2 linked regions of the Mus musculus genome follow. The protein of the gene in region 1 interacts with the protein of each later gene in a pairwise test. Links are inferred from orthologs where the notes say so. Each region holds a gene or a part of one and is shown in the gene's direction. Other genes may lie near its edges.

The links. The genes of interacting proteins can lie anywhere in the genome.
Region 2: the proteins of Egfr (region 1) and Cdh1 interact in binary tests that used the Homo sapiens proteins (3 or more experiments, as listed by UniProt). The link is inferred for Mus musculus from reciprocal best matches to the Homo sapiens genes EGFR and CDH1.

The regions. Positions count from the first base shown.
Region 1 is NC_000077.6:16,905,560-16,909,212, forward strand, and holds part of Egfr (epidermal growth factor receptor isoform 1 precursor), read left to right. Parts: intron 1-1,176; coding exon 1,177-1,323; intron 1,324-3,317; coding exon 3,318-3,415; intron 3,416-3,653. UniProt on the Homo sapiens protein: Receptor tyrosine kinase binding ligands of the EGF family and activating several signaling cascades to convert extracellular cues into appropriate cellular responses.
Region 2 is NC_000074.6:106,662,245-106,665,897, forward strand, and holds part of Cdh1 (cadherin-1 preproprotein), read left to right. Parts: intron 1-1,502; coding exon 1,503-1,727; intron 1,728-1,951; coding exon 1,952-2,179; intron 2,180-3,149; coding exon 3,150-3,280; intron 3,281-3,653.

The DNA.
Region 1 (3,653 bases):
GACTCTGACAAAGGAAATAAAGCTTAACTACCACACCAAGTATCACTAGGGACAGCCATGAACACATGCTGCAGGGAAGGTCGTGGGGGGAAGAGGACCCAAATGCGAGCTAAGCTTCTGCCTGAAGAGGTCAAACAAACAAAAGCTCCTGCTGTGAACTTGATGTGAACCAAAGGAAGACAGCAAAGGAGGTTTCATGGGGGAAGCATTTCTGATAGAGAAATGTTTTCTTATGAAATGGCCAAGACTGTTGTTTCATGTGGTGCTTGATTTAATCTCTCTGTGTCAAAGAGAGGAGCTCGGCAAGGGGATCCATGAGGATAACTGTGGGGAGGAAGTAAGAATGAGAAGGTAGTTACTGCTTGTTCCCAAGGAAGACCACCTTACCAGGGCCCAGCTAGTCTAAATACAGCACAGCCATGCACAGGACTATGTCTTAACCTTCCCAGGATGACCACTCTAGCCAAGCCTCCCTTGCTTGTCCTTCGCTTATCTTGAGCCTATTGTGGCCTAACTAGCAAAGTCCTTGGTTCCTGTGTCAGGCACTTGGTCCTTGAATTTCCCCCAGGCAGTTCAGGGAAAAGTTAGCAAACAGTGTGATTATAAAACACAACTCTCACCCCAAAGGGGGAAAGGGATAATTGATTCTGAAACAGACATGGGTGGTCATCACCAAGGAACGCAAATTCAGGTTGCCCTGAACATTTTCCCTCACAGAGGCAGATGCATCAGATTGTATTAGCTACAGAGCAAAGAGTGTTATGTATCAAATGGTCTGCAGTTTACAGCCTTGCTTTGTAAGGTCCTTGCTTGCACTACCTTGAGTATAAGGTTCTCAGAACAGCTGTGCACGTAGGCAGACCTTGTTCTGTAGCAAACTCGGGCTCCACAGTTGTCCTTGTCTTTAAGGTTATAACTATTCCACTTATCAGTCAGCAACTATATGCCTCACATTTAGCTAAACTTTTTTGTATAAGATCTTACTACATCTTTGAAGCCATGCCATGAAACAGATGCTATTATCTTACTTGATAGGTAAATCCCCTCAAACCAGTGGCTCAAGGCTACAGAAACAGGTTTTAAAATACTTACTAACAATAATGGCTAAGGATTAGGTGGTGTGTTAAGCATTAACTCACAATGCAATGACTTTCTTTGCCTGTTCTATCTGCCTAGGTGTCACTGTGTGGGAACTGATGACCTTTGGGTCCAAGCCTTATGATGGAATCCCAGCAAGTGACATCTCATCCATCCTAGAGAAAGGAGAGCGCCTTCCACAGCCACCTATCTGCACCATCGATGTCTACATGATCATGGTCAAGTGTGAGTGACTGGGGGGGGGGGGGGCATCCACACTCATGTTGATGGTCCTGGAAGGATGTAATTGCTCTGAGACAAATAGCCCAGGCCCTCATTTCCCCGAAGAAATAGCATCAGTCTTCGAGTCAGGCTCACAGTTCCAGAAACATCATAAACACCTCCAGCAAGCATTCTTTAGGAATCACTTGCTTGACTCATCCTGACCTCATATTTGCCCAAATTTGCAAGCAAATAAATTAAAACTGAAGTCTTTCCTAAGCCATTATTCCCAGATATTCTATGATCTGAGTTGCTCAATGAACTTACAAAGTTGTATTACATTTTGAGACCTGTTGCTAGAGAAACTTAATGTTTCAAAATGCCTAACAATGAGTAACCATGGGAGTTTGATACAATCTTTGTTTCTGCTTTGGCTTAAATCTTTCAAACTGGATTTATGCAAGGCCTCCTGAAGTAAAGCAGTTAATCATCTTAATCCCGACAGGAGTGTGCATTTTGATAAGTGCTAGTATTCCACACAAATCTGTAATTGTGCTCTGAAAGTAATAGTACACATGTCATAGCATTGGCATAGAAACAGCATAGGAATATGACAGAGCAGTGGTCTTAGTTTGCATTCTGTTGCTCTGATAAAACACTGACCAAAGGCAACTTGTGGAGGAAAGGCTTTTTTTTGGCTTACAGCTTACTGTCTGTCATCAAGGGATGCTAGGGAAAAAGCTCAAATCAGGAAGCTGGAGGCAGAAACTGAAGCAAAGATGGAGGAACTCTGCCTGTGGCTTCCTCTTCCTGGTTCACTCAGCCTGCTTTCTTAGACAACAGAAAAACAGGAGCCAAGGGATGGCACCGCCCACAGTGGGTTGGGCTCTCCCACATAACTCATTAATCAACAGAATGTTGCTCACAGACCAATCTACTGGAAGCATTCTCTCAGCTAAAGTTTTCTCTTCCCAGATGTCTCTAGCTCATTTCCAGTTGATGAAATCTAACCAGCAAGGCTGCTTTATCATAAATAACAATGTATTCTCTGAACTTTGGACCAGGGAGTTAATCTATTTTCACTGCTTTGGTTTCAGATGAGGAAGCTGAGGCCTAGAGAGGTTGCATGATTTGTCTAAGGTCACATAGCAGTTTAGCCTAAAATAGCTTGATGACCAGTTGAAAAAATAAATCCAATCCCTAAAGGCACAAGTATCTAGTGCACAGTTTATCCTCTCCATTGCTGGATCTATTTTTAGATCATTGGTAAAGCAATGAACCTCTGTGACTACTAAATATAGTTTTACCCAGAAAATACTAGTTATGACACCCTAGGTTCAGTCCCCAGCACTGGTAAATAATTGATACATAGATTGATGGATGTATACATGCATACACATATACATCGATTCATTGATCGATGCATAGATACATTGTTAGATGGTAGATAGATAGACAGATATATATCGCTTGTTTGCTTGGTTGGTTGGTTGATTGATTGATTGATTGATTGACTGATGATACACAGATTCAGCCTTGTTAATTGCATGAATGGTAACTGAATGGAGAATGCAATAAGGCCTTGACATTTCTGTAAATTGAATCTATTTTCTAGCTTAGAAAGCTGTGGATTAGGACAAAGAAAGCACAGAGGCATACCAAAGTCAGAGTAGTTCAGCAGTGATTGCCCACAGTAAAACCCTGTGGTCACTGAAGATCATAATGCAAGAATGATGACTAAGGAAGGACAAACGTAAAACCATTACCGTATATGTTATTGTTACTCTGACTGAAAACTGTTCTATAGGGCTGGGAATGAATCCACAAGGTATTACAATAACTTCTCATGTACTTCAAGAACTAATCAGTGTTATCTCATGTGCCAAGCCTCTCCCAAAGATTATGTGCCTTCATTATCCATTTGCCTAGCAAGATCACAGCATCACTTAAAGCAATGCCCTCCTTGTCATTTCTTCCAGGGTTCTAATTGCTTTGCTTTGGCTTCCTTCCTTTCTCAGGCTGGATGATAGATGCTGATAGCCGCCCAAAGTTCCGAGAGTTGATTCTTGAATTCTCCAAAATGGCCCGAGACCCACAGCGCTACCTTGTTATCCAGGTATCAGGCCAAAGTTTGTTCTTACATGGTCAAAATCTCTCCAATAGGTCCAGATGCCACTGTGCTGAGCCAACACAGTCTGTGAAGCATGTTCTTGATAATAAATCCTTTTGTGCATTGGAGCCTCTTCCATTATGATACAATGACTGAACTACATGGGGATAAGTGGTGACTCTCACCCAACTCCAAATCATCATTGCATTTGAGCAGTCCAACCTGGACCCAATCTGTTCCTCTT
Region 2 (3,653 bases), on another chromosome or scaffold:
CACTTGAATCTCACTCCTTCCTGCAGGAACTTGGTTCATGGTTATGAACTTACTATTACTTAAATCTTATAATTCTTCAATTTATAATCTTATAATCTTCAACTTTTCTCTCTTTTATTTTGAATTTTATGTGTTTCTTAGGGTTTCATTTCTGTGAAGAGACACCATAACCAAGGCAACTCTTTTTTTTTTTTTTTTTAAAGATTTATTTATTATTTATTTTATATATATAACTATACTGTAGCTGTCTTCAGATGCACCAGAAAAGGCCATCAGATCCCATTACAGATGGTTGTGAGCCACCATGTGGTTGCTGGGAATTGAACTCAGGACCTCTAGAAGAGTTGTCAGTGCTCTTAACCACTAAGCCATCTCTCCAGCCCCCAAGGCAACTCTTACAAAGGAAAACATTTGGGGCTGGCTAAAAGTTTCAGAGGTTTAGTCCATTATCGTCACGGCAGGAAGCCGAGAGGCATGTGGGCAGTGGTGCTAGAGAAGGAGCTGAGAGTTGTACATCTTGATCCAAGGGCAGCTAGGAAGAGGCTCTGATTGAGCCTAGGCTGGTGGAGCCTAGGCACGGGAGACCTCAAAGCTTACCCCCACAGTTACACACATCCTCCCACAAGACCACACCAACTTGATTAAGGCCACACCTCCTAATAGTGCCCCTTTTTGTAGGGCAAGCATTCAAACACACGAGCCTGTGGGGGCCAAACATACTACCACAATGTGTATGGGTATTATAGCCTGCCTGTGTTCCTGGTATCCACAGAGGATGGTCACCTGGAACTGGAGTTACAGACAGTCAGGAGCTACTATGAAAGTGCTAAAAACCGAACCCTAAGCATTCTTAGTCACTGAGCTGTCTCTTCGGCCCCTTTTCCTTTCTGTATGGAAATGGGAACTGACCACAGTGCTAAACATAGACGTGTGTTCTCTACTACTTATATATATATATATACCACGTGGATACCCCAAGATTTTTTAGTATAGTTTAGTTTGTTTGTTTTGTTTGTTTTTGTTTTAGACATTGTTTCCTATATAACCCAGGCTAGTTTTGAACTCACGATGTAGCCCAAAAGACCTCAAAATTGATGTGCCCCCCCCCCCCATCCTGTGTGTTTCTAAGATTCCAACAAATTCTACTGCATTCTGCTTTTCCTAACCTCCTAATAAGATCTGCCGGAGCCAGGCTTCTGTAGGAGGTTGGGGTGGGATAAGGCTTTGTCTCAACAAACAAATGACAACAACAAAAAAAATAAACTCCCGAATTGGACTGTATTAGTAATGTACTAGAAAGAGAAGAAGAAGAAAGCTGCCTTTGAAATGAGAAATAATCTAAGACATTGTATACAGAGCATGCTTGTCAGAAAGCCGAGACAAGGACAGAGCGCCTGTGGTTAGTGTGGAACCTGCTGAGGGGTCGTGGACAAACTAAGAATTTGACCTCCTGGAAGGTGACACGATCCTTAATCTGTGACACCTTTTATGTTTTCTCATAGGTTCACCCATTGCCACTGGCACGGGCACTCTTCTCCTGGTCCTGTTAGACGTCAATGACAACGCTCCCATCCCAGAACCTCGAAACATGCAGTTCTGCCAGAGGAACCCACAGCCTCATATCATCACCATCTTGGATCCAGACCTTCCCCCCAACACGTCCCCCTTTACTGCTGAGCTAACCCATGGGGCCAGCGTCAACTGGACCATTGAGTATAATGACGCAGGTGTGAAGGCTCGCTGTCTTTAGAGAGGCTCTGCCTGTCCCGCTTCACCCTTCCCTTTGATATCTGCCCCCGGTTCCTTCTGCATTCATGCACGCTCCTTTTCCTCGTATTGCGCGGTATTCCTCCAGCACTCGATGTCTCTGGTTCCCTAAACCCTTTGATTCACTGAGCTTTTTGCTCTGCCCCCTCTCCCGGTCTCATCGTTCCTGTTTTCCTTTCCCTAGCTCAAGAATCTCTCATTTTGCAACCAAGAAAGGACTTAGAGATTGGCGAATACAAAATCCATCTCAAGCTCGCGGATAACCAGAACAAAGACCAGGTGACCACGTTGGACGTCCATGTGTGTGACTGTGAAGGGACGGTCAACAACTGCATGAAGGCGGGAATCGTGGCAGCAGGATTGCAAGTTCCTGCCATCCTCGGAATCCTTGGAGGGATCCTCGCCCTGCTGAGTAAGTTCAGGTGGCAGGTGCTTCAGCCCGTGACCTCTAAAACCAGGAAGGGCCATCTCCTAGGAGGAGCTTTTATTTGGGGTACAGGGGGCGCAGGATCCTTCTGTTCTGTCTGTCTCTGCTCGCCTAGATTGAGTGCATGTCCTTCAGTAAGTGGGGCTTCAGACCCAGGATCCCTGATGAGGCTCCTCAGATGCTTCATTTTAAACCAGTCCCCAAGGAATGCTGTGCTGGCAGAGCCAGGTTTACGTATAGCTCGCTGTACTCGTTAGCACAGGCAAGGCTGGCAGCTACCATCACCTCCGCATTCCATCTTGGAGGGCAGATGAGAGGGGAAGTAGAGGCTGCCTACCTGCAGGTTGTAGATGTCAGCAGCACTCACATCTCATTGGCCCAAGTGTAGCCATGACAAATGACAAGGCATCCTGGAAGCTCCTGCTCTTAGCTGGGTGATGATGAGCCCATTTTCATTGCATGCTTGGGAGACAGTGGTATTGGATGGAGGGCTGAGTGAGCAGCGGATGGTGCCCATGGCTGAAAAGATGAAGGAGAGTGGAGATGCTTGGAGGGAATCTGTCATTTTTGTCCGTGGTCTTTGTTCTGATTTTACCTGTCCTGGGCTTGGTAAAATGCCATGAGGATTTCAATGATCAAAGATACGGGGTTTTGCTTATTGAGGATATACCTTGACTTTTTTTGTCGGGGGCAGTAGATAAAGCTGGGGAAATTCTCTTATTAGACATTGGAAGCAGAAGTGGTATCAGGAGCCAGATGTCAAACTTGTTTATCATTTTTGTTATATTGTTTTTTGAGAAATGATCTCATTTGGCTGGACATGAGATAGTCCTCGTTCAGGTGGCTACCCACCTGCCTGGTGGGGTGAGGCTGTGGCATTCCAGGACAGTGGCTTCCCCTGGTCTTTCCTGCGTGTGGCTCATCACTCTTCCCTGCCTTCCTTCCTTGTCTCCAGTTCTGATCCTGCTGCTCCTACTGTTTCTACGGAGGAGAACGGTGGTCAAAGAGCCCCTGCTGCCACCAGATGATGATACCCGGGACAATGTGTATTACTATGATGAAGAAGGAGGTGGAGAAGAAGACCAGGTGGGTTTTAAAGATGGAGAGCTTTAAGTCTGATTAAGGGGTGTTGGGTAGGCTATGTCAGTCATCACCCTGCTGTACTGCTATGGAGGACAGAACTCTGTGGTCACAAGAATTCAAGTTTCTTCCCCCAGACACTCTTGTGTTCTCTACACTGCTGGTTGATTACATTGAGACTCACAACATCTGTAAATCAGTGAGGGCCTTTCCCAACCAGGCAGCGTTGTGATGAAAGACTCTAAGCTGCAGCCTACGCTCGGGTCTGCTGCACGGGAGCCTCATGTGAGTTGCAGTAGGCATGCATTGCTGTCTTATTGCCTGAAGCCCCTCACATGCCAGAGCCCGTTTTTAACAGACAAGACACTACTTGTATCAG